Linked DNA regions of Ovis aries. The protein of the gene in region 1 binds, or shares a complex with, the protein of each later gene. Links are inferred from orthologs where the notes say so. Each region holds a gene or a part of one and is shown in the gene's direction. Other genes may lie near its edges. The genes, in order: SMARCC2, SMARCD2, DPF1, ACTL6B, PHF10, PBRM1 and ARID1A.

What was found.
Region 2: SMARCC2 (region 1) and SMARCD2 share a complex: the UniProt entries of both Homo sapiens proteins name them as parts of the BAF complex. The link is inferred for Ovis aries from reciprocal best matches to the Homo sapiens genes SMARCC2 and SMARCD2.
Region 3: SMARCC2 (region 1) and DPF1 share a complex: the UniProt entries of both Homo sapiens proteins name them as parts of the neuron-specific chromatin remodeling complex. The link is inferred for Ovis aries from reciprocal best matches to the Homo sapiens genes SMARCC2 and DPF1.
Region 4: SMARCC2 (region 1) and ACTL6B share a complex: the UniProt entries of both Homo sapiens proteins name them as parts of the BAF complex. The link is inferred for Ovis aries from reciprocal best matches to the Homo sapiens genes SMARCC2 and ACTL6B.
Region 5: SMARCC2 (region 1) and PHF10 share a complex: the UniProt entries of both Homo sapiens proteins name them as parts of the neural progenitors-specific chromatin remodeling complex. The link is inferred for Ovis aries from reciprocal best matches to the Homo sapiens genes SMARCC2 and PHF10.
Region 6: SMARCC2 (region 1) and PBRM1 share a complex: the UniProt entries of both Homo sapiens proteins name them as parts of the SWI/SNF-B (PBAF) chromatin remodeling complex. The link is inferred for Ovis aries from reciprocal best matches to the Homo sapiens genes SMARCC2 and PBRM1.
Region 7: SMARCC2 (region 1) and ARID1A share a complex: the UniProt entries of both Homo sapiens proteins name them as parts of the neuron-specific chromatin remodeling complex. The link is inferred for Ovis aries from reciprocal best matches to the Homo sapiens genes SMARCC2 and ARID1A.

What each region holds. Positions count from the first base shown.
Region 1 is NC_056056.1:163,372,006-163,375,505, forward strand, and holds part of SMARCC2 (SWI/SNF complex subunit SMARCC2), read left to right. Parts: intron 1-32; coding exon 33-291; intron 292-529; coding exon 530-691; intron 692-959; coding exon 960-1,024; intron 1,025-1,254; coding exon 1,255-1,390; intron 1,391-1,464; coding exon 1,465-1,631; intron 1,632-2,286; coding exon 2,287-2,421; intron 2,422-3,430; coding exon 3,431-3,500. UniProt on the Homo sapiens protein: Involved in transcriptional activation and repression of select genes by chromatin remodeling (alteration of DNA-nucleosome topology).
Region 2 is NC_056064.1:47,807,701-47,811,073, reverse strand, and holds the end of SMARCD2 (SWI/SNF-related matrix-associated actin-dependent regulator of chromatin subfamily D member 2), read left to right. Parts: intron 1-175; coding exon 176-271; intron 272-410; coding exon 411-512; intron 513-659; coding exon 660-821; intron 822-951; coding exon 952-1,049; intron 1,050-1,208; coding exon 1,209-1,344; intron 1,345-1,504; coding exon 1,505-1,627; intron 1,628-1,745; coding exon 1,746-1,847; intron 1,848-1,938; coding exon 1,939-1,992; 3' UTR 1,993-2,873; downstream 2,874-3,373. Other genes in the region: PSMC5 (26S proteasome regulatory subunit 8), read right to left, coding at 2,981-3,034, 3,133-3,219, 3,309-3,373. UniProt on the Homo sapiens protein: Involved in transcriptional activation and repression of select genes by chromatin remodeling (alteration of DNA-nucleosome topology).
Region 3 is NC_056067.1:47,409,509-47,413,008, reverse strand, and holds part of DPF1 (zinc finger protein neuro-d4), read left to right. Parts: intron 1-243; coding exon 244-404; intron 405-479; coding exon 480-587; intron 588-1,986; coding exon 1,987-2,114; intron 2,115-2,385; coding exon 2,386-2,475; intron 2,476-2,867; coding exon 2,868-2,946; intron 2,947-3,129; coding exon 3,130-3,261; intron 3,262-3,500. UniProt on the Homo sapiens protein: May have an important role in developing neurons by participating in regulation of cell survival, possibly as a neurospecific transcription factor. Belongs to the neuron-specific chromatin remodeling complex (nBAF complex).
Region 4 is NC_056077.1:36,361,508-36,365,007, forward strand, and holds the end of ACTL6B (actin-like protein 6B), read left to right. Parts: intron 1-14; coding exon 15-95; intron 96-201; coding exon 202-297; intron 298-490; coding exon 491-577; intron 578-2,190; exon of another isoform or gene 2,191-2,462; intron 2,463-3,184; coding exon of another isoform or gene 3,185-3,265; exon of another isoform or gene 3,266-3,288; coding exon 3,289-3,384; 3' UTR 3,385-3,398; downstream 3,399-3,500. UniProt on the Homo sapiens protein: Involved in transcriptional activation and repression of select genes by chromatin remodeling (alteration of DNA-nucleosome topology).
Region 5 is NC_056061.1:91,171,691-91,175,190, reverse strand, and holds part of PHF10 (PHD finger protein 10), read left to right. Parts: intron 1-2,443; coding exon 2,444-2,599; intron 2,600-3,500. UniProt on the Homo sapiens protein: Involved in transcription activity regulation by chromatin remodeling. Belongs to the neural progenitors-specific chromatin remodeling complex (npBAF complex) and is required for the proliferation of neural progenitors.
Region 6 is NC_056072.1:48,331,430-48,334,929, forward strand, and holds part of PBRM1 (protein polybromo-1), read left to right. Parts: intron 1-1,367; coding exon 1,368-1,553; intron 1,554-2,459; coding exon 2,460-2,617; intron 2,618-3,327; coding exon 3,328-3,500. UniProt on the Homo sapiens protein: Involved in transcriptional activation and repression of select genes by chromatin remodeling (alteration of DNA-nucleosome topology). Required for the stability of the SWI/SNF chromatin remodeling complex SWI/SNF-B (PBAF).
Region 7 is NC_056055.1:240,201,273-240,205,213, reverse strand, and holds the start of ARID1A (AT-rich interactive domain-containing protein 1A), read left to right. Parts: upstream 1-1,141; 5' UTR 1,142-1,904; coding exon 1,905-3,050; intron 3,051-3,941. UniProt on the Homo sapiens protein: Involved in transcriptional activation and repression of select genes by chromatin remodeling (alteration of DNA-nucleosome topology).

The sequences.
Region 1 (3,500 bases):
AAGTGAGGTTGTGTCTCCACCACCACCACCAGGCACTGGAAATGTACAAAGATGACTGGAACAAAGTGTCAGAGCACGTGGGAAGCCGCACACAGGATGAATGCATCTTGCATTTTCTCCGGCTTCCCATCGAAGACCCGTACCTGGAGGACTCAGAGGCCTCCCTGGGCCCCCTGGCCTACCAGCCCATCCCCTTCAGCCAGTCAGGCAACCCCGTGATGAGCACCGTTGCCTTCTTGGCCTCTGTCGTCGACCCTCGAGTGGCCTCAGCTGCTGCGAAGTCAGCCCTAGGTAACGCGCAGGGCTCCCATCCCTCTTGGTTTGCATTTGAAAGGCTGGGTACTCTGACTGTGGAACCCCCTCAAGTTCACTGCCCTACTGGCCTTGTCTGCGGCTGGCATCAGCCCAGGCAACGGTCCAGCTCCACGCAGGCAGAGATGAAGAGCTGGGTTTGTGAGGGAGCTCTCACAGAGAGTGCCAGAACTGCCTACCTGCCTGCTCCCAGCCTCCCCCTCTCTGGGTCTTACAGAAGAGTTCTCCAAAATGAAGGAAGAGGTACCCACAGCTTTGGTGGAGGCCCACGTTAGGAAAGTGGAAGAAGCCGCCAAAGTGACAGGCAAGGCAGACCCAGCCTTTGGTCTGGAAAGCAGTGGCATCGCAGGGACCACCTCCGATGAGCCGGAGAGGATCGGTAAGGCTTGCCGTGTTCCCCAATTCCTCCCTTTTTACCAGCAGCCTCAGCCGCCTGGCCTCCCCATACCATCCCTGCCTCCACCTGACCTCAGAGCATGAGACGGATGGGGTGAGTTGGTGGGGTGTTCATTTTCCTCAGGGCTTTACTTTAGGTACCGTGGCTCCCCACTGGTCCTCTCAGTAAGATCTTGGCTAGAAGGGGCAGTTGGAAGAGTGTTGTAGACCAACTGTCAGACATCTCCTGTTTCCTCTTCCCCTGGACCCAGAGGAGAGCGGGACTGATGAGGCACGGGCGGAGGGCCAGGCCACAGAGGATAAGAAGGAACCCAAGGTACAGCGGGATTGACACGGGCTGGGAAGGCAAAGGGGTCCAGCGTGGACCAGGGAAGGGGAGCCGGCTCCACTGAGCTTGGGCAGGCGAGGGCTGGGCTTGGATGGGGCTCGCAGCCTGGATCCAGGCCCTCTCCCAGATAAGAGGTGTAAACTCAGCTCCTGGTCTGGGCCCGCTGTGTGCGAACCAGCACCCTGACACTCCCCTTTTTCCTTTCCCTGGGACTCCAGGAACCTCGAGAAGGAGTTGGGACTGTGGAGGAAGAAGCAAAGGAGAAGACCAGTGAGGCACCCAAGAAGGACGATGAGAAAGGGAAAGATGGCGACAGCGAGAAGGAGTCAGAAAAGAGTGACGGAGACCCGACAGGTGAGCCTCACGTGGTGGTTGGGGTTCAGAAAGGAAGCCAGGCTCTAGGGCTCACGACCCTTTTCCTGGCCCAGCGGATCCTGAGAAGGAGAAGGAGCCCAAGGAAGGGCAGGAGGAGGTGCTGAACGAAGTGGTGGAGTCAGAGGGGGAGAGGAAGACGAAGGTGGAGCGCGACATTGGCGAGGGCAACCTCTCCACCGCCGCCGCCGCCGCCCTGGCTGCTGCCGCCGTGAAGGCCAAGGTAAGGCCTCAGCCCCAGGGAAGGAGGTGCTGCTCCTCATCGCACGGTACCTGGAGGGAAGCCTGCCTTGTCATCCTTACCCAGTGCTGGCCTGTCTCCTGTCCCCTTTGGATCCTGAGAGGAACGCTTGGTCACCTCTTACCTCTTTTAAGCCTTTATCATTAGGCCTGTCTCGCAGTTTATTTATTTATTTGGCTGCACTGGGTCTCCGTTGCAGCATGTGGGCTTCTCTCGTTGCAGAGCGCAGGCTCCAGAGCGAGAGGGCTTCAGTAATTGCAGCTCACGGGCTCTGGTTATGGCAGTTGGGGCACGTGGGCTTAGTTGCCCCACGGCCTACGGGATCTTAATTCCCTGACCAGGGATCGAACCCACTTCCTCTGCGCTGGAAGGTGGATTCTTAACCACCAGACCACCAGGGAAGTCCTGATTGGGCCTGTTTCCACCCTCTCAATTATTTGACCTTTCCTTATCCTTTGATATCCTCTCTTTTTTCATGTTCTTTTAAAAACACCACTCAAGCCTGCGCTACTCTCTGGGTTGTGACCACAGCAAGTTCTGTCTTAAAGCCTGTCAGCCCCCACACCACCCTTCTCTGTTGCCCAGTGTCTTCAGCTGGGTCCTCGCACTGATGGCCACCCCACCCTTCCTTCCTTAGCACTTGGCTGCCGTTGAGGAGAGGAAGATCAAATCTCTGGTGGCCCTGCTGGTAGAGACCCAGATGAAAAAGTTGGAAATCAAACTCCGGCACTTTGAGGAGCTAGAGACGATCATGGACCGGGAGCGAGAAGCAGTGAGTCGAGTCCCCTGGCGGTTGGCGGGGCCCCACCTTGGCAGTGGGCTGGGCCGCAGTTTAGGGCAAGGAGAGCAGCAATACAGAGAACCTGAGGCTGACAGTATCACAGCAGAGCAGACCAGCCCAGACCAGGGCAGGAGGAGCCAGCCTGGGCGGTTAGGGACAAGTGACCCACAGGTACAGCCTGGAGACTGAGGTCCCACAGAATGTCAGCCCCAGGGTCAAGTTTGCCACATCTCCAGGTCCTTAAAGGGTGCTTAGTCCACGGTAGACTTGGCTGTGGAGTGATTGTTGAGTGATTAAACAGGTTTAAGGCATGATGAGAGGGTAAGGGCTTCAGAGCCAGGGGTTAAAGTTGGAAAGGGAACAGGATGGACATGGTGTCGACTCATTTTGATTCTTAGAAGATATAAAAGTAGAAGATAAGGACTCTGATCCTGAACTCCTCAATTGAAGATATCAGATATCCAATATGGAGACGTCAAAGTTGGCTAATGCTTCAAGCATCTGACAAATGAAAATTGAGAGATTTCCAATCAAGCATAAAAATCCTGAGTGAGAGCAGAATAAAGGCCAAAGTTCAGAGGCTAGTGAGGTGATCTGGGAGGGCTTCCTAAGAATTGTGAGTTTTTCTTCAGTTTTGAAGGAGGGAAAGAACATGATTTGACTAGAGGAACTTGGTTGGTTGGTGGGGTAGGGGTTGGTTTCCAGATGAAAGTAATGACAAATTCAAAGCTTTGGAGCTGAAAATGAACAAAGGCTACCACCAGATTAAGTCCACTTGTCCACTGCAGTGAGAAGCCATGTGGGCAGCCAGAAGACCTGGTGGGGGGAACTGGAGAGGGGAGGGGAGGCGAGAACAGCGGAAGCCAAGCACAAGGCTGAGGTTTGGTGTGGGGATCGCCAGAATGGGAGGCTGGGCTTGTCAGAAGACAAAGCAGGGGGCAAGGTGTGTGCCTTTGGGGTCTCCAGCCCCCGGGTGACAGCTCTCCGTCGGCCCGGGCAGCTGGAGTACCAGAGGCAGCAGCTCTTGGCCGACAGGCAAGCCTTCCACATGGAGCAGCTGAAGTACGCAG
Region 2 (3,373 bases), on another chromosome or scaffold:
CTAGGGACCCTTTCTGTGCCTCAGGTCTCACTTTTCCCTGCTTCTTTCAGGGCCTGAGAATCCTCAGTACCCTGAGCTTTAGGACTGAAACAATATTCCTCTGTTCGGGGCTTAGTATGTGGCTTAGGCTTGAACCTTCAATGGCACCCCTGTCTCACCCCCTTTACATCCCCAGCCTAGTAAACAGAAGCGGAAGTTTTCTTCCTTCTTTAAGAGCCTCGTCATCGAGCTGGACAAGGAACTGTATGGGCCAGACAACCACCTGGTAGAGGTGAGAGCGGGCCTGGGGCTTGGGACCACAGGGTGCCGTGCCCGGCGGGCAGAGGAATGGCCTCAGTCCCCTTGCAGGGCCAGGTGCGTATGTTGCCCGCCCCTTTGGTGATGAGCTTGACTCCCCTTCCTCCTGCCAGTGGCACCGGATGCCCACCACCCAGGAGACAGACGGCTTCCAGGTGAAACGGCCTGGAGACCTGAACGTCAAGTGCACCCTCCTGCTCATGCTGGATCATCAGGTGACGAGTGCCCTGAGGCCACGTCTGGGCTCACGGGGACTGTCATCTGGGGCGGGGGCAGGTGCCCATTGGAAACCCTTCCTGTCCCTGCCCTAGCCTGCTTTGGGTTTTTTTTTCCCTCCTCTGACTCCCGTCTGTCCATGCCAGCCCCCACAGTACAAGCTGGACCCCCGCCTGGCGAGGCTGCTGGGGGTGCACACGCAGACGAGGGCTGCCATCATGCAGGCCCTGTGGCTCTACATCAAACACAACCAGCTGCAGGACGGCCACGAGCGCGAGTACATCAACTGCAACCGCTACTTCCGCCAGGTAAGCGGGCACACCGCCCCCTCCCCTTCCAGCCCCCGCCCGCCTTGCCTGTGGCGCCACACCGCCCCGGGACGGGCCACTTCCCCATGTGCCCACCAGGGCGTCACCGACCCTCTGGCGCCCTCCCCAGATCTTCAGCTGTGGCCGACTACGTTTCTCTGAGATTCCCATGAAGCTGGCAGGGTTGCTGCAGCATCCAGACCCGATTGTCATCAACCACGTCATCAGGTAAACGGGAAGGGGGAGGAACGCTGCTCTCAGGGGTTTGCCTTTGACTTCAATTAAAGCCAAAGCAAAGCAGCACGTTTGGTTTCTTGCTCCCTGGGTGTGTGTGGTCTTGCCCCGGGCGGGCGGGAGGGAAGTAGCTCTCTCCCGTGTGCCGTGTAGCGTGGACCCTAACGACCAGAAGAAGACAGCCTGTTACGACATTGACGTGGAGGTGGATGACCCGCTCAAGGCCCAGATGAGCAATTTTCTGGCCTCTACCACCAATCAGCAGGAGATCGCCTCCCTTGATGTCAAGGTGGGCCCCAACCTCCTCTGGGCCCCCAGTGAGCATGGGCAGGTGTCGGGCATTTCCATTTATATAGCACCTTGGGATGGGACCTGAGTCCTTTCGGGTTGGGGCTGGAAGCAGACCTTGTCGGGGTGGGAGCCAGTCTGACACGTACCCCTTTGCCCAGATCCACGAGACTATTGAGTCCATCAACCAGCTGAAGACCCAGAGGGATTTCATGCTCAGTTTTAGCACTGACCCCCAGGACTTCATCCAGGAGTGGCTCCGTTCCCAGCGCCGGGACCTCAAGGTGTGCCCCTTTTTCCTGAGGGTGATCCCACGTTAAGCTCTGGGGGTTCTGTCCCCAGCACCGTTCTTCTGGCTCAGGGGTGGGAATTGCGTTCAGCTCTGCTCCTGGTGCTCTACAGATCATCACTGATGTGACTGGGAACCCGGAGGAGGAGAGACGAGCAGCTTTCTACCACCAGCCCTGGGCCCAGGAAGCAGTAGGGAGGCACATCTTTGCCAAGGTGAGGCGGCTCTGCCCTGGCTGGCCTGGAGGGCATACCGGAGGGCAGGGTGGGCAGCCGGGCCTGAGCCGCTGGTCTGTCCCTGCTCCAGGTGCAGCAGCGAAGGCAGGAACTGGAACAGGTGCTGGGAATCCGCCTGACCTAACTGCTCAGGGACCCCTTCCTTTCTTCCCAGCCTGGAGCCACGCCCTCAGCCTGGAAGGGGACCACCCTCTGGGGCGCAGACACGTAGGATAACGAGGGGGTGAGGGGCATCTCCAGTTACCCTCGGCTCCCCGGCTTTAGTTTCTTAAGTGTAGTGATAGGATTCCTTGTTGCTTGGTCCTCCAAAGCCTTCTTACTTACACATTGGCTTTAACTGGGTTCACGAGAGGCCTCCTGTGCCCCCTGCAGGCAGGCCTGAGAAGGACCTGGAGGCTCTGCTTTGACATTTTAACCGAGACCTTTTGGAACCAGAGGCCCCTGGCTTTGCTTGTTTACAGACCCCCTTGGGGCGAGTGTCCACGCTGGCTCCAGGGAGCGGGGTGAGGAAGAGGAGCATGGCTCCCTTTCTTCCTAGCCTTTCCAAACCAAAGTTCTTTGCCATTCCTACCAGCCCAGCCTTGCTGCTGGTAATTTCCTTTCCTTCGGGTTATTTGCACTATTTGTGGAGCAGGATTTTCTATGCGGGAGCCACTTTTTTTATGGGGGTGTGTTGGGGGTTTTCAGGGAGCCCTACTTGGGGGGTCCCTTATTTTCTTTTCTCAATCTATGCAAGCGGCTCTGGCCGCCATCATCTCCTGCGATGCCAGAGGGCTGTCACCCCAGTTCTTGGGCCCAGGGTAACGCCTCCTAGGGAGAGGGCACCCTAATTCTCTGGCGTGGCCTGAGGCGTGGGTGTGTGTGTGCTCGGTGGAGGGCAGTGGGAGATGGGGAGGACTATTGTTGCTCTTTGGAGCCTGTTAAGGAGGGTGGGCCGAGGGCTTGGCAAACGCCACTTCTGGCAGGTTTGGAAATTTCCAAATAAATCTTTGTTTATTGGTGGTACCTAGACCTGGTGATTGAACAGTGCAGCTGCTGATTAACAGACTCGAGTCCTCAAGGTCCTGACCGGTAGAGCTTTATTTGAGGGATCCACACAAAGGACGTCTGCCTCACTTCCATAGTTTCTTGATGGACATGTTTTTCTCACTGTCCTTTTGCATGACCTGGAGAGAGAACATTTGAGTTAGAGACCCAGTGAACACGTGCCCGACCCCACTGCTCGAGTCACCACCAGCAAAGGCAGAAAGGCGTGGCCCTGTACCTTAGCTACTGCCATCTCGAAGTCCTCCTGCGTGACGTGCACTCGGCGCTCCCGCAGTGCATACATGCCAGCCTCGGTGCACACGCCCTGAGCAGGGAAAGAAGGGGGAGATGCCGCTGTGCCCTGAACCCAGTGCTTCCTGCCTCTGCCCCCTTTCCCTTGGGCACTCCTGTTACCTTCACTTCAGCCCCTGACGCTCCCGGCATGAGCTCAGCAATTTTTCTCAGGTTGATCCCCCGGG
Region 3 (3,500 bases), on another chromosome or scaffold:
ATATGTGCCTGAATGGATGTGTCCTGGTGTATCTTTATCTGTTCCTATATTGTATCCACTCCTTGGCTCGAGGCCCGCTTGAGTCCCGGGTTGGGGGCTCCTGGGTCCCGACCGGAGGGGAGAGGTGAGGTTGGAGGAATCGGCCCACCCATTCCCGACGGGTGGGCTGGGGGAGGGGTGCTGGGCGACCGGGTGCTCCTGCCCTTGCTGACAGCCGCCCGCCCGCTTACCCGCCCCTCGCAGCCTAGGCGAGGACTTCTACCGCGAGGCCATCGAGCACTGCCGCAGCTACAACGCGCGCCTGTGCGCCGAGCGCAGCCTGCGCCTGCCCTTCCTCGACTCGCAGACCGGCGTGGCCCAGAACAACTGCTACATCTGGATGGAGAAGACCCACCGCGGCCCGGGTACCGGCCGGGAGGGCGGGGGTGGGGCGGGGTGGCGGCTTCCCAGCCGCGTTCTTACCGCCCTTCTTACTCCAGGTTTGGCCCCCGGACAGATCTATACGTACCCGGCCCGCTGTTGGAGAAAGAAACGGAGGCTCAACATCCTGGAAGACCCCAGACTCCGGCCCTGCGAGTACAAGATCGGTAGGTGGGGCTCCGTCCTGTGCCTGGGGTGGCCCCGGTGGGTGCCCACACCACTGGCTGATCAGCGTGTTGATGCCCTTGTGCCTCTGAGCATCTGCCTTTATCACCCTCCCGGCCCACGTCTGAGTGACGGGCTGTGTATGCTGGTGTGTGTCTGGGGGTAGTACAGACACTCTCCAGTTTTCCCCGAGTATTTTGAACTGCGTCTTCTACTTGGACCCAGGGGTATTCCTGGGCAGAGCGTGGTATCTGTTTTGCGTGTCCAGGTGTATCCCATCCTTGTATATCTCTTCCCTTGTGAGTTGGGATGTATCAGAGTATCTGCCTGTTCTTTCCTGTGGATGTCTGAGTGTGTGTCTGGGTGTGTCAGAGTGTCTGGTTGTAACTTTTTCCATTTGTAGTACAGCGTGTCTTGGTGTCTGTGTCTCTTTTCAGGTGTTTCCAGGCTTATTTCCTCTTAAGTGTGTCTGGTCTATCTGTTCCTGAGTGTCTCTCTTCCTTTGAGTACCAGATGCTCTGGAATGTCTGGGAGAGTCTCGTCCCTGAGTGTCTGTTTGGAGTGTCAGGTGTGTTTCTGCCCGTGTCTGCTGCGCCATGAGTGCCTGGCTTTATCACGTCTCAAATGTGTCCAGCACTGATAGAGTCACTGGCTGTTTCTCTTCCCTTGCTCAGGTATAACCAAGGATCTGTGTAGGTCCAGGCAGGTGTACTGGCGTGTCCATCTGGCTCTGTCTTCCTGGGTGTGTCTGATTGTCCCAGAGGGACTGTCTGTATCACCTGTGTGTATGAGTATCCATCTGAGTGATTCTCTGGTGTCTCTCCCCTAAGTATGTTCAGGTGTTTGGTAGGGTTTGGTTGTGTTTTCCCCATGTGGTCTGGGTTTATCTGATGGTCTAATGTTCTCTTTTGGAGTGTCTCTGAGTGTGCCCAAGGGTTTGGCTATGTCTCCTCCGTGAGTCTGGGTGTATCTGAGTGTCTGGGTGTACCTCTTCCCTTGTGTTTCTGGCTGTCTCAGATGATCTGTCTGTATCTCCCTTGTGTATGTCCATGTATGTCCTGTTTGAATGTCTCTTCTCTCCAGTTGTGGGGGTCTGGGTGGGGTCTCCTACTTGTATTATGTAGTTATATAGGAGGGTCCAGCCATGTTTCTCCTGAGTATGTCCAATGGTCTCTGATGGTCTGACTGTGTCTTCTCCAGGGTCTGGGCATCCTTAGGATGTGTGGAAGTAATGAGGGTGGTATGGATGGTTGAGTATTTGAGTCTGTTGCTGGTTGAGTGTGGGAAAGCCTCTTTCCTCCAGAAAAGAGCATGATTCCCCAACCTGGGCAGTCTGAGGAGTCCTCCAGGGACAAGTTCTTCACCTGACCCCCCTTCTACCTACCGTGGTCTTGTCCCCAGACTGTGAAGCGCCACTGAAGAAGGAGGGTGGCCTCCCCGAGGGGCCAGTCCTTGAGGCTCTCCTGTGTGCCGAGACAGGGGAGAAGAAGATAGAGCTGAAGGAGGAGGAGACCATTATGGACTGTCAGGTAGGACTGCCCAGCCCCCCACCCATCCAGGGGCTGTGGCTGCCCTCTCAACCGGCCTGTGTCCTGGCCCATCTTGCTCCTGCTCTGAAATCTCCCCTGATTCCCTAGGACCTTTGAGCATCCTGTCTCCATCCCTCCACACTTCATCTCTTTTTGGGAAGACCTCCTAACTTGCCCTGCCACCCCTGATCTTTGCTGTGTCCAGAACTACCTCCCAAAGCAGAACAATACCCCGTTTCTTGACCCCAGTCTCCCTTCTCCTGGTGCCCAGAAACAGCAACTGTTGGAGTTTCCGCATGATCTTGAAGTGGAAGACCCAGAGGATGACATGCCCAGGAGGAAGAACAGGGCCAAAGGAAAGGTATTACTCCCAAACCTCCCCCCATCACCCTTCCCCTCAAGGCAGGTTCCATTGATTGCTTATGCAGTGTTCAGACCCTGCCCCAATTTTACCTTATTTAACTCTCAGAGCAGCTTGAAGGGGTAGGGGATTTTTATACCCATTTTATAGATGAGGAAATTGAGACTTGGGCATATTAAGCCATTTGCAAAACAGAGATTGTACAGGGGGTTAGAGCTATCTTCCTACACGTGGCACAGATGAGAAAATGGAACCTCTGAGAGGTCAAGAGAGTTACTCTAGACTCACAGCTAGGAAGTGGCAGAGCTGTGATTGGGCTTTCAAGTCCAAATGGTGAAAATTCTTTTAGTTCCTTCCCTTTCTTGGCCCCTCACTCCTGACTTTCCCCTCAGGCATACGGCATCGGGGGGCTCCGGAAACGCCAGGACACCGCTTCCCTGGAGGACCGAGACAAGCCGTATGTCTGTGATAGTGAGTCCTTCTGAAGAGGGGGGAAGAGAGAGAGAGAGAGTGGGACCCAGAGACCTTGCCCCCCACTGGCCCCCTTCCCTCCCGTTCTGGACCCTGGCAGAGGGGGGGAGGTGTGATCCTGGAGGCCAGGGTGGAGGCGGCAGGGGCTGGAGGGCTGACCGGCCCTCCCTGCTCACTCTCCAGTCTGTGGGAAACGGTATAAGAATCGGCCAGGGCTCAGCTACCACTACACCCACACCCACCTGGCTGAGGAGGAGGGGGAGGAGAACGCCGAACGCCACGCCCTGCCCTTCCACCGGAAAAACAACCATAAACGTGAGCAGGCGGGCAGGGCGTGGGGTGGTGAGGGGCCCTGGGAGTGGGGGCTAAGGAGCCTGGGAGGGAGGGGGCACATTAGGCATTTCTGGAAAATCTCCAGCTCAGCGGTCCCCTCCCCCCACCAACCATGGGGATGCTGGCTCTGGGGTTGCCATGGCAACCAACCATCTCTCCCTCTCTCCCGGCCGGGCGTAATATTTCTGGGTCTGATTTATTGTTTCAATTAGAGCTTGGGG
Region 4 (3,500 bases), on another chromosome or scaffold:
ACCTTTCTCCACAGGGCCTGTCGGGGAACACCATGTTAGGGGTGGGCCACGTGGTGACCACCAGCATCGGCATGTGCGACATTGACATTCGTCCGGTGAGGCCCAAGCCTGCCTCTGGGTGGAGGGGTCCAGGAGAAGTGGGGGCGTGGGTGCCAGGGCGGGGCTGTGCCCTGATCGCTCACTCTTCCTCCCTGCTCTCAGGGCCTCTACGGCAGTGTCATTGTCACCGGTGGGAACACGCTCCTGCAGGGCTTCACTGACAGGCTCAATCGAGAGCTTTCCCAGAAGACTCCACCGGTAGGAGCCCACCCTCGGCCAGGGCCCTGGGCCAGCCCCTCAGCACCAAGTCCTTCCTCCTTCCCACACATTGAGCCAGTATTCTGGCCACCAAAGCGGCTCCTTCCCGCTATGGCCTCGCCACTCCGAGCCCTGTCCCTTCCCACTTCCCAGAACCAGGTGTCTGCTTCCCCTAGCCCTTCTTTCTTCCCAGAGCATGAGGCTGAAGCTCATCGCCAGCAACAGCACCATGGAGCGCAAGTTCAGCCCCTGGATTGGGGGCTCCATCCTGGCCTCACTGGTGAGAGAGGAGGGCCCTGGCCTAGTGCTGAATGTGGGGTAGATCCAGACCGCCCCACCACCTTGCCTACCACCTCATTCGCTCATTGTTTATGAAAGGGCAGTCAGTGCTCCCAGAAAGGTGAATGCGATCTCAGGACACAAAGCAGGGAGTGGAGGACAGGAAGCTGGACAGGTTGGCTAGGATGAGATTGTGGTAGTCTGTGTGCCAGGGTGAGCCCCTAGAGGTTTGGGGCAAGGGGATCTGATGGCCACAGGCATGACTGGGAAGGTTATGTCCGACATGAGACTTTGGGGATGGGGGTATGAGCTGAATTCAAGGGGACCTTGGCGGGAGGCTCTTTCTATTGTCCTAGAGTCACGGGATGGGTAGCAGTGGGCATAGGGTGGTGAGCAAGGGACAAACCGAAGGCAGCAGTCAGGGTGGTTCTGTGGTGGTAGGTGGGGAATTCAGTCTGGAGCAGCTGCTGGGGCAGGGGCAAGACGTTGAGCAGAGAGGTAAAGATGCAGACTGCATCTGATGAGTGTCAGCTACACAGAGGGGGACAGCAGGGTCATGACAGGACAAGGATGATATCAGCTAGAGGCGGTGCCCCCAAAGGGACAGAAGCAAGGGTCAGAGTGACAGAAGACTGACCCCCCGAAGATAGCTCAGGGTTGCGAAAGTGTCAGTTGCACAGTCGTGGCAAGCCTCCTGCACGCCTGGACAGACAGCCCGACCTCATCCCTGCCTTCGTGCATGGGGACAGTCTGGAAGCCAAGACAGTCAAAGAGGAGGTCACCACAAAGTGTGGGGTGTTCCTTCAAAGGAAGACCTGATCTCATTCAGGCATCAGGAGGGGCCTCTAAGGAACCTTCAGGCTGAGATGGAAGAGTGAGAACTCAGGAGGCAAAGCAGGAGAGCGTGTGTGGCCCCAGGGGAGAGCCAGGCAAGGCCACAGGCAGGGGGTAGGTGCTGTGGGGCCAGAGTTGAGGAAGCTCACCTGGGCTTCCCTGGTGGCACAGATGGCAAAGAATCTGCCTGCAATGCGGGAGACCTAGGTTTGATCCCTGTGTTGGTAAGATCCCCTGGTGGAGAGCGTGGCAACCCATTCAAGTATTCTTGTCTGGAGAATCCCCGTGGACAGGGGAGCCTGGAAGGCTACAGTCCATGGAGTCACACAGAGTCAGACACGACTCAGCGACTAAGCACACAAGCTGGGCTACAGAGCAGAGAGTGGGCTGGAGAGGGCTACCGCGGTCTCCACTGTGACCCGGGGTCGCCAGCAGAGTGGATGTAGGGGAGAGAGGGTTGGGAGCTTATCAGAGGTCTGACTGAGAATGTGGGCACCGTTTGGATACGAGAGGTAAGAAGGAAAGGGGTCAAGGATGAGACCCAGGTAAAGAATCTGCCTGCAGTGCAGGAGACCCGGATTCGGTCCCTGGGTTGGGAAGATCCCCTGGAGAAGGAAATGGCGCCCCACTCCAGTATCCTTGCCTGGACAATCTCATGGACAGAGGAGCCTGGTGGGCTGCAGTCCATGGGTTTGCAAAGAGTCGGACATGATAGAGCGCCTAACACACTTACTTATTCAAAGTACTATCAGTACGTCAATTAGTATAAAATGTGAGACGTTTCACATCCTCTGGATTTATTTTCAATATCCAGTGCAGATTTGACACCGAGAGCACATTTCATCTTGGATTAGCTGCATTTCACGTGCTCGATAGCTCCATTTCAAGTGTTCCACGTGGCAAGGGGCCACTGGATTTGGACAGGGCAACTGTAGAAGGCGAGAAAGACCAAAGAAGCAGGTTTGAGGCAGGGCTGGGCGAAGATGGTGACAGCAGTCATGGATATGTTGACTGAGTGAGGTTCCAGGAGACACTGAGGACCAGGAAGCTGTCTGAAAGACAGTTGAGAATTTGGGTCGGGAACTCGGCAGGGAGCTCTGCATTGGAAACTGGAGATGATGGGAAGGGTGGGGCTTTGGCACAGTAAGCAGAAGTCAAGGGAGAGGTGACATGGTCCAGGAAGGTGTGTCCAGAAACAGGGACACACACACTGACTTTCAGGCAGACGCAAGTGATCATAGAGATGGCACAGTCTAAAGTGCCAGGGCTGGCGGACCCTATTTCAACAGGGGGTGGGGGGGTGGGGTGGGGTGCCAAAATAAAGACATCATCCCCACCTTGATGTTAGGTGGTGTCAGAATGGTGAGGAGGGTGGAGGAAAGATTTTTCTTGGGAAGGAGGGAGACTTGGCATGTAAGGCCTGATGGAGTGACGGGGTATCTGGTGGAGAGGGGATATGGAGTGTTGCAGCGCAGGTTCGCTGGCCTGCGGCTGGAAGGTCCACCTCCCAGCTCGAACCGCCCTGGGCTCCGAACTGACAGGTGCTCAGTAAATACTCAGTGAATGCATCGTTGATTGAACGGTATGAAGCGGGTATCCGCCTTCTGAATACGAAGGAGGGGACAGGGAGATGGGGCAAGTTGGTGGTTGCGGGGGGGTGGGGGGATGTGGGCTTGGGAGGGGGAAGATTCCGAACCTCCACGGGTGGAGCATAGGGAACCTGCTCTCCCTCCCTCCTGGCCTCCCTGACCGCCCTCCCGCCCCACCCACCCAGGGCACTTTCCAGCAAATGTGGATCTCCAAGCAGGAATATGAGGAGGGCGGGAAACAGTGCGTGGAGCGGAAGTGCCCCTGAGGGCGCCCCCTCCCCACCCACAGGCCGGCCCGCAGCGGTGGGGGAGGGAAAGCGAACGGAAGAAGACGGTTTCCCCCACCTCGGCTCTGCAAGCGCAGGATCGACAGCCACCCTCCTAACGTTCCCATCGGCCCCCTTTTGTTCTCCTCCCCACTTGTCCTCTTGATTGTGAAGTTTCTGGGTTAAAGGGAGTAAACATGTTTTAAGAAAAAAAAAAAAAGTTTGGCCTCTTTGG
Region 5 (3,500 bases), on another chromosome or scaffold:
ATTAGATTATTATTGAGCTCCTAAGTTTGGAACATGCGAAATATTTAGGTTGGTGCAAACGTAAATGCAATTTTGGACCATGAATTTTAAGTCGTTATGAGTAGACTCAGACACATCTTTATTAATCAAATCAGGAACCATTACAAGCAGCACATTTTTATCAGTAAGAAGTAAGTCTGTTTCTCTGGGTAGACCCCGTGCTTCAGGCTCGACGAGCTCTCGGAAAGCCTTTTCTGCCTCCTGCTGCTTGTGGAACGGTTTTCCCTGCAAAAAGTTGTCAAGGTGCCTGGAGACGTGGTGGTTGGCTGGTGAGGTCAGGTGAACGTGACAGATGAGGCAAAACTCGCAGCCCCATTTCCAGCTTTCGCAGGGCTGGGTGTGCGACGAGCGGTTGGACATTGCCCTGGAGGAGACCCGGGCCTTTGTGTCGCCTGCGCCGCTGCAGGCATTGTGGTTTCACTGCGTCTCATCGATTTGCTGAGCATACTTCTTGGATGTAACAGTTTCGCTGGGACTCCGAAAACTGCAGTGGATTAGACCAGCCGCAGGCCACCAACAGTGACCATTGCCTTCTTTGTGATGCACTGTCGGCTTCGGGGAGCGCTGCGGTCAGCTGGCTGTCGCTGTCCTGTAAAATCCACTTTTTGTGGCTCATCACAATCCGATCGAGAAATGATTCATTATTGCGCAAAGATAGGAGAAGACGACGCCAAAACGGTGCTTTTTTATTTGCGGTCAGCTCATGAGGCGCCCACTTATCAAGGTTTGTCGCCTTTCCAACTTGGTTCATCTTAGGACGTGAGGGTTGGACCGTAAAGAAGGCTGGGCACCAAAGAATTGATGCTTTTGAACTGCGGTGTTGGAGAAGACTCTTGAAAGTCCCTGGGACTGCAAGGAGATCCAACCAGTCCACCCTAAAGGAGATCAGTCCTGAGTGTTCATTGGAAGGACTGATGCTGAAGCTGAAGCTCCAATACTGTGGCCACCTGATGCGAAGAGCTGACTCCCTGGAAAAGACCCTGATGCTCGGAAGATTGAAGGCAGGAGGAGAAGGGGACGGCAGAGGATGAGATGGTTGGATGGCATCACCGACTCGATGGACATGAGTTTGAGCAGGCCCTGGGAGTTGGTGAGGGACAGGGAGGCCTGGCGCGCTGCAGTTAGAAGGAGTCGGACACGACTGAGCAGCTGAGCCGAGCGGAGCTGCGTCTGCTTCAGATGCCGGTGACGGTGGAGTGGCCGGCGCTGCTCCTCGGCAGCTTCCTGCGTAGTGAAGACTGCGTGGGAGGCTGGGCTCCGACGACGGCTCCCGGCTGGTGGCCGTCAGCTTCCTGTGGCTGGCCACTGCGCTGCTCACCTCCAGAGCTCTCGTCTCCTTTGCAGACTTCTTGGACCACCACTGCACTGTGTGTTCGTCCGCAGTTCCTGGGCCAAACCTGTTGTTGGTGTTGAGTTTTCTCCTCTGCTTTATGACCCATTTTGGACTCAAATAAGAAAATCACTCGAGTTTGGTTTTGTTTAAAATTATTTCCGCAGTCTTAAGTGTTAGTTGCTCAGTTGTGTCCGACTCTTTGCAACCCCATGAACTATAGCTGTCCAGGCGCCTCTCTCCATGGGATACTCCAGGCGAGAGTGCTAGAGTGGGTTCCCATGCCCTTCTCCAGGGCGTCTTCCTAACCCAGGGATCAAACCCAGGTCTCCTGTATTGCAGGAGATGATGATTTACTGTTTGAGCCACCAGGGAAACCCATAGTCTAAAATATTTGTATTATTTTATATTCTAGAATAAATATAAACAGTAAGTAATGTTGTTAGCAAAAAAACATAAAGAAGTGAACGTTAAAACGATGTGCGACATAACCACATTTATTTAAGAATGCACTCCAATATCAAAGGCAAATTTCAACGATTCGGTTACTTTTGTACCAACCTGATATGTCTGATACTGTTGTAAATACTTGGCGATAACTGGCTTTGCATAGTTTAATATTATGAAGACACGATTCTGGGCTTGAGCTTCTTTAATGACCTTTATTACTTAGTAAAAATGCCCACTCTTACTTCAAGCAGTTTTTTTAAAGAATATTGTTGTGTGAAACAAGTATGCTCCCTTGTGACATCGTAAAATGGTGTTGAAGCTATGTGGTGTACTAATAACTGAAGTAATGGTTATGTTCTTGTCAAATTCAGTCAGAAAACAAAGTCAGTTAAGGTACTATCTCATATAAATGGAATTAGGTATAATGTATTTATATGATGGAGAAATGATTCTTAACATGACTTATCTTACTCTCCGCTGGAAGTGTTTTCTTAGATCGGAATTATCTTATTTTGAAATTGATGGAACTTTAAAACTTTTTTTGGATGTTTTCTGTAGTTTTCAGAATTCAGACTCAAATCTGCATGAATCCAAGGGACCTGTGTTTGTGCCTTTGACTTGCAGGACAGCTCCTCTGGCAACGTGTCCGAGGGGGAAGGCCTTCCCGAAGGCCAGGAGGAGCCTTTGCAAGGAAGACAGAGGCCCAAGGACAAGGCTGCCCCTCCACGCAAAGATGCTTCCAAACGCTCTGTACTGTCCAAGTCAGTTCCTGGGTACAAGGTAGAAGAAAAAAGCCCCTGACTCAGCTTCCTTCTGACCAGCCTCTCTCCCTGAGACACTCTGCCTCTGAGTTTCAGAGTTGCGGTGCCCCTGCTGCTGCCCGTCCTCGCTCCCCTCCCGCGGGGTGTGCCCTCTGCCAGCCTTCTTCTCGCTCTGTTTTCCTGGTGGCTTTTCCGTCACTTGGGCTCTGGGTCAGCGTCTGTTTCCTGTATATGTGAGACTGGCAAGGGAATCGTTTTTTATGTACTAACTAGGCAAGTATGAGTCTCTGAAAAGTGATCTAATAGGCAGAGCTGAATACTTTGTTTTCTCAGTGTAAAAATCATCGTTGTCTGACTCGGAAAGCTTCCTGGTATTTAGCAGCACCGAGCAGTGCACTGGGGAGGAAGTCCTCATAGAAAAGTTGCGTTTCTGTGGTGCCTTTCATTAATGATCTGGGTTCAGTCTGAGAATTATCTGATCCATTTGCCAAATTCAGCTAACTCTGCGATGGAAAGTAGTAAAATGTGGTGCTTTCGTAGCCTCACCGTGGTGAGTAGCCTGTGCAGTTCTGTGAGAAGGATTCACACATCATCTGGCAAGGTGACTTGGCTTAGCAATAACTTACTAGCTTTTTGATCGAGTTATTCTCAGTCGGGTAGCATACTGTCAGCAATAGTATTACTTTCAGCGTTTCTTTCTGCTGGCTGCCCCTTCTCCTTCAGAGGGTTGGGTGAGAGGTGAGCAGCCTCGTTCATATGTGGGGGTTTAAGATCGTCGCGAAAGGAGCAGCATTAGCTGCAGGGTTGCGCTTTGAATGGTGATAGTAAAATGCACAGGTTCAGTCTGGTGGGTGTCAGTCTGCTTTTTATGGGCTTATGAAGGTGTTTTGAAGGAGCGTTTTAGAGTAAGATGATCAAAA
Region 6 (3,500 bases), on another chromosome or scaffold:
ATCAGACGGCCAAAGTATTGGAGCTTCAGCATCAGTCCTTTCAATTAATATTTAGGGTTGATTTCCTTTAGCATTGTTTGGTTTGATCTCCTTCCAGTCCAAAGGACTCTCAAGACTCTTCTCCAGCATCACAGTTTGAAGACATTAGTTCTTCAGCGCTCAGCTTGCTTTATGGTCCAACTTTGACATCCATGCATAGCTACTGGATAAACCATAGCTTCGACTATATAGATCTTTGTTGGCAAAGTGACGTCTTTGCTTTTTAATACACTGGTTAGGTTTGTTTTAGCTTTCCTTACAAGGATTAAGCATCTTTTAATTTCATGGCTGCAGTCATCCATGGTGATTTTCGAGCCCAAGAAAATAAAATCTGTCACTGCTACCACTTTTTCCCCATCAATTTGCCATGAGTGATGGGACCAGATGCCATGATCTTAGTTTTTTGAATGGTGACTTATAAGCCCACTGTTTCACTCTTGTCTTTCATCCTCATCAAGATTCTCTTTAGTTTCTCTTCACTCTCTGCCATTAGAGTGGTATCATCTGCATATCTGAGGTTGTTGATATTTCTCCTGGCAATCTTAATTCCAGCTTTATGATATAGAAGCCATTAAAAAATATGCTTTAGCAAAACTAAAAATCTTGAAAAGCATTTGATCTCAGAGGAAATTTTTATGATATTAAGTGTATAAAGATATAGTATCTGGGCTTCTCGGATAGCTCAGACAGTAAAGAATCTGCCTGCATTGCAGGAGGCACAGGTTTGATCCCTGGAGAAGGAAATGGCAACCCACTCCAGTATTCTTGCCTGGACAATTCCACGGACAGAGGAGACTGGCAGGCTACAGTCCATGGGGTCGCAAAGAGTCAGTCACGACTGAGTGACTAATACTTTTCATATATAGTTTACAGTATGTTGAATGAAATTCATGTCTCGTTAGTTCTAAGATTCCATTCATTGTGACATAACCATGTAATAACAGGAGAAAGAAATTTCAGTGGTATTAAGATGGCAAGAAAGTACATACAAGATTATCTCTAGAATCACATGACTTATGAGTGGCCTGTTTTCTTCTTTATACCTTCCTGTATCATCCAAAATGACTACAATGAGCATATATTATTATGGTGATTATTTTTATTCTGTAGATACTTTATGTATGTATTTAAATTAGTGGCAATTGGTTGTAATTTAAAAAGACAGTTTTGAGTAGAGACTGTTGGGAATGTGGATATCATACTATTTGTCCTGAATCCTGCCTTGGAGTATCTGGAAAAGGATTAAATGTATTAGTATGTGTAGTTTTAATCCTGCATCTGATTGCCACATCCCTTTCATGAGAACATTTTTCTCTTTTTTACCTAAGAAGCTGAAAAGAGTGAAGATTCCTCAGGAGCTGCAGGCCTCTCAGGCTTACATCGCACATACAGCCAGGACTGCAGCTTTAAGAACAGCATGTACCATGTTGGAGATTACGTCTATGTGGAGCCCTCAGAGGTCAATCTACAACCTCATATCGTCTGTATTGAGAGGCTGTGGGAAGATTCTGCTGGTAAGTTCATTTTAAATTGGGGAGCAAATTGGTGAGATGTGATTATTTTACTCCTTGTTTCTCAGGGAAGGAAATTGTAACTCAGACATTTTATGCCTTTCCACAGTAGTAGTTTTACACTCTTAATAAGTACAATTCACTGCCCACTATATGAGGAACATAGGATTGAGCACTGTTGGGCAGTGGCATAGCTGAGTCAAAAGAAACACAACTTCTTGAAGTCTAGATGAGATTCATTCATTCAACTGATGCTTATTAAAAAAATCCGAGAGCCAAACCCTGTAGGATGGCCAAGAATCAGAAGAACGAAAGGTCTATGTTTTGTCCCTGGCAAAACCCCTCTGGTAAAAGTCACAAATAAAGAAGAAATTGTTATAGAGAGACATGTGGCTTAGAATTTGGCCTAGAATTTGATTTCAAAAAGGCTTCCTAGAACAGTTGGCTTTAACTTGAAACAGAGAATGAATAGGAGTTAATGAAGCCAAAACCAAGGAGAAGTGTGATCCAGACAATCCACTTATTTCAGCTGTTCATCATATAAAATACCTTAGTATTCTTTAACCCAAGTGCTACATATGTCCTTTAGTATATCTTACATCCTTATTAAAGCACACAGCTTTAGCTGTGTCCTGACTCAGCAGAGTAGAGTAGGTCCCATCCCCTTCCTTGTTCTATTTATTTTACATCTTTTACTATAAGGGGGAAAGTAGCATTTGTAGGTGTCATTGCACTTTAGTATTTTTAGTATTATTTCTTCTAAGGTAATTCTGTTAAGGAACCATGGCCTAAAAGCACATTGCTCGGTTCAGCCCATGGCAGAATGGATGGAGTCTTTGCTCATTTTACAAAGAATATGTTATTTCCATTAATGGTAATTCTCCCTCTTTTTCCCTGTTTGTTTTTGAGGTGAAAAATGGTTATATGGCTGTTGGTTTTATCGGCCAAATGAAACATTCCATTTGGCTACACGGAAATTTCTAGAAAAAGAAGTTTTTAAGAGTGACTATTACAATAAAGTTCCTGTTAGTAAAATTCTAGGAAAATGTGTGGTCATGTTTGTCAAGGTAAGAAATTTATTAATCCCCAAACAGTAAATTATTTCATGGAGTTTACATGGAGTTTCACAACCACAGAAAATTGATATTTACAAAATGAATAGCTCTGTTTAAAACTGTTTGAATTTTTTTAGGCTGTGTCTCTGGCTTTATGTAAAGATTTGAGGAAAAATAAATCTGAGCATAAAAGTGAAAGACCTTTTGCTGCCTATGCTATATAGCTGTATGCAGTTAGCTTAAATTTTTTTATATCGCCAGACAAATTTTTAAAGATGATATTTTCTGAAGAATCATTAAATCTTCAGTGTGGTTCTATGGTGTACTTTTTGTTTGTCTGTCTACTATAGGCACAGGCTCAAAGCTTTAAAGAACTGGCTGTCTAAAATACTAATGTACTGTCATAGAGGCAGTTGGTAAAACTTCAGGTCAGTTCAGTCGCTCAGTCATGTCCGACTCTTTGCAACCCCGTGGACTGCAGCGTGCCAGGCCTCCCTGTTCATCAGGGAGGTAAACTAAATAAGCTAAATAGAATATACTGAGCAATGCCATTCTATACAAGGAAATACTCCTAATCTCTAACCATTTACCATTTGTTGTTAGTTGTCAAAAAGTCTTAACACTTTAGCTTTTATTTCTTTGCTTGGTTGGTGTTTTTGTGTTTTTTGGTTGATTGGTTTTCAGAAAATTCACCTACTTGATTTTATTCTTATATCCACCAGGAATACTTTAAATTATGCCCAGAAAATTTTCGAGATGAGGATGTTTTTGTCTGTGAATCACGATATTCTGCCAAAACCAAATCTTTTAAGAAAATTAAACTGTGGACCATGCCCATCAGCTCGGTTAGGTTTGTCCCTCGAGATGTGCCCTTGCCTGTGGTCCGAGTGGCCTC
Region 7 (3,941 bases), on another chromosome or scaffold:
TCTCCCATTCAGCATCTCTTAGAATGTAACAGTAAACTTTAATGATTCCTTACAATGAAGGATAGAAAAACAAATTTAGGCTGCATCTGTTTTCTGAGTGAGGTGTTAGACTGCACCTTTTCTCTCTTTTTAAGGAGAAAACGGTTCCCTCTACTTGGTCATCCCTCTTCGGCAGAGGTTCCTTTGAACACTCAGGTTCCACCAGTCCCTGGAGTCTCTTCTGTGGTCTGTTACAGTCTTACAGGTACTGTCTTTGGAGACGGGACCTTGGTCATTGTGGGCAAAGGTGGGGCTTGTGTCTTCCTCCAAGAAGGCGGTCATATGTCCCCAAAATATCTTCAGGGGTGACCATTTTATATCGGTTGAGATGACCAGCTTGAATCTCAAACCCATTCTGATGTTCTGATCCCACTGTTGTATATGGCACCACTTTTCTTTTTATTACTATTATTTCTAACGCTAAGTAGACAGGGGCAGCACTGGGGACTCTGCTACTTTTTAAAGTCACCCTCCACTGCCCTTGTCTTTGTAAGTGATAGACTAAGTGATAGGCCGGTCCCCTTCGCTATCTTATGAGTCTGTAAAATGGGGATCAGGAACTTCGTGCCCCCAGGGCCTGTGAGGACCGGCTAATGAGGGCAGAGAGTGGGAAAACGGAAAGTCTGAAACAATGATCTGTCATTCCATGCAGCTTGCAAAGAGGATACAACGTAAAGCTCAGCTGGGTCTTTGGAGCAGGTCTGCAAAAGGCTTTGAAGAAGGAAAAGTGCCGCGGAGATGCTAAGTAGCGGCCAAGAGACCAGGCCCGCTGCCAGGGGGGGTCAGGCCTGGGCCGAGGCGGCCGCGGTCTCGGGCTCAGGCCAATTTTGCAGCCGCGAGTAAAGTTCACGCTGCCCGCGGCGCGAAGGGGACCGACCTGGATAGGGAGGCCAGGAGGGAGGCGGCGCGCAGGCTCCGGAGAGGCGCGAGCTCCGGGCCGGGTTTTCCCCGAAGCCTTCGGCGGCGGCGCTGCCGAGCGAGAGCGGCAGAGCGCTTGCCGCCGCCGCCGCCGCCGCCGCGGCTGGTTCTCTCCCCTCCTCCTTTGTGAGGGGAAGGGAGCGAGTCCGTTCCACGGCCTGCGCCCCGCTCCGCGCTCCGTTCCGGGTTTGCCAGGCGGCCGCGACGGCGCTGGGTAAAATGGCAGTGCTGAGCCTCGTGTCGGAGTGAGGGGGACTCGGAGGAGAGTGGGGCGCTCTAGCCGCTCAGTCCGGCCGCCCGCCCGCTCGCCCGCTCGCCGCCGCGCAGCAGCCTCGGCCCGGCGCCGCGGCCGGGGAGGGGAGGCAGGGCGCCCGGCCCGGCCCACGCTCCGACTCTGCCTGCCGGCGCCCGGGCTGCTGCCGCGCGCCCTCCAGCCCGCCCGTCCCGGGTCCCCCTCCCCCCGCTCCCTCCCTCCCTCCCCGCCCCCTCCCCCTCGCCTCCCTCCCTCCCCTCCCTCCCTCCCTCCTTTCTCCGGCAGCAGAAAGCGGAGAGTCACAGCGGGGCCAGGCCCTGGGGAGCGGAGCCTCCACCGCCCCCCTCATTCCCAGGCAAGGGCTTGGGGGGGAATGAGCCGGGAGAGCCGGGTCCCGAGCTTACAGAGCCGGGAGCAGCTGAGCCGCCGGCGCCTCGGCCGCCGCCGCCGCCTCCTCCTCCTCCGCCGCCGCCGCCAGCCCGGAGCCTGAGCCGGCGGGGCGGGGGGGAGAGGAGCGAGCGAGCGAGCGAGCGAGCGAGCGCAGCGCAAAAGCCGCGGAGCCCCGCGAGGCCCGCCCGGGCGGGTGGGGAGGGAAGCCCGGGGGGACTCGGCCCCGGGGCGGGGTGGGGTGGGAGGGGGGTGAGAGAAGACGAAGACAGGGCCGGGTCTCTCCGCGGACGAGACAGCGGGGATCATGGCCGCGCAGGTCGCCCCCGCCGCCGCCAGCAGCCTGGGCAATCCGCCGCCGCCGCCCTCGGAGCTGAAGAAAGCGGAGCAGCAGCAGCAGCAGCAGCGGGAGGAGGCGGGGGGCGAGGCGGCGGCGGCGGTCGCGGCGGAGCGCGGGGAAATGAAGGCAGCCGCCGGGCAGGAAAGCGAGGGCCCCGCCGTGGGGCCGCCGCAGCCACTGGGAAAGGAGCTGCAGGACGGGGCCGAGAGCAATGGGGGTGGCGGCGGCGGCGGAGCCGGCGGGCCCGGCGCGGAGCCGGACCTGAAGAACTCGAACGGGAACGCGGGCCCTAGGCCCGCCCTGAACAATAACCTCACGGAGCCGCCCGGCGGCGGTGGCGGCGGCAGCAGCGACGGGGTGGGGGCGCCTCCTCACTCAGCCGCGGCCGCCTTGCCGCCCCCAGCCTACGGCTTCGGGCAACCCTACGGCCGGAGCCCGTCTGCCGTCGCCGCCGCCGCGGCCGCCGTCTTCCACCAACAACATGGCGGACAACAAAGCCCTGGCCTGGCAGCGCTGCAGAGCGGCGGCGGCGGCGGGGGCCTGGAGCCCTACGCGGGGCCCCAGCAGAACTCGCACGACCACGGCTTCCCCAACCACCAGTACAACTCCTACTACCCCAACCGCAGCGCCTACCCCCCGCCCCCCCAGGCCTACGCGCTGAGCTCCCCGAGAGGTGGCACTCCGGGCTCCGGCGCGGCGGCGGCGGCGGCCGCCGGCTCCAAGCCGCCTCCCTCCTCCAGCGCCTCCGCCTCCTCGTCGTCTTCGTCCTTCGCTCAGCAGCGCTTCGGGGCCATGGGGGGAGGCGGCCCCTCAGCGGCCGCAGGGGGAACCCCCCAGCCCACCGCCACCCCCACCCTCAACCAACTGCTCACGTCGCCCAGCTCGGCCCGGGGCTACCAGGGCTACCCCGGGGGCGACTACGGCGGCGGGCCCCAGGACGGGGGCGCCGGCAAGGGCCCGGCGGACATGGCCTCTCAGTGCTGGGGGGCTGCTGCTGCTGCGGCGGCGGCGGCCGCGGCCGCCTCGGGAGGGGCCCAACAAAGGAGCCACCACGCGCCCATGAGCCCTGGGAGCAGCGGCGGCGGGGGGCAGCCGCTCGCCCGGACCCCGCAGGTAACACGGCTGGTGGGGTAGGGGGGGCTGTGGCGAGTGGGGCGGGGGGGTCCTGGGAGTGGATGGCGGCGGCGGGGAGCGGGCCACGGCCGTGGGCTACCCCCAGTCTGGGGCCCCCACTGCTGGGGAGCTGCCATTGTCTCGCTCTTTCTCTCTTAAAATGGCTGCCCGTCTGCCTTCCTCTCTTTCCCTCCTTCAGCCTTTGTGTGGGGCTTTCCTTGAGGTGTCTGCTCCCCTCCTCCTCCTCCCCGGGTCCCTTCCAGCTCCGGGGGGTCTTCAGAGGGGTGCGGAGCCGGGTGTGCGGGAAAAGGGCCCGGCCCGGGGTGAGGGGGTGTTGGGGGCTCAGGTTAGGGGTGTAGGCAGCCCTCGGAGGTCGGGAGTTGAGTGAACAGTTCTTTGCTCACCTGCCGCTCCTCTCTGCCCTCCCTACCTTCCTCTAGGCCGGTCCCCATCTGTGCTTTCAAGGAGGGGGCCCCTCGGGCTCGGGGGGACCTCGAGGGAGGGCAGGGGCCTGCTTGGGAGCAGCTAGAGCCCGGCTTCGGTTCACCCTGGGCAGCCCAGGTCGTCTCCTGTCTTAGTCTCCGTCGGCCCAGTGGCCTGGGCTTCTCCCTGGAAGTGCTGGTAAACAGCTGAGTGATTGGAGTAGTAAGTGCAGATTGCTTTGGTTTGGGATTTGAATTATGGAGGTAAAATCCTTCTGTCAAAGCCAGGAGACAGTTGGTCTTAGGTTGACATCCTATCTGTGATCTGATTGGCTCCCCATCTCCTGCTCTTGGCCATTTATAATTGCCTCTGATGTAATGGTACAACAATCCTGATGAGCTCATAAACTTTTACACTCTGCTTTTCTGCCAGTGATAACCCAAACCATCGCTGCCACTATCTGCCTTT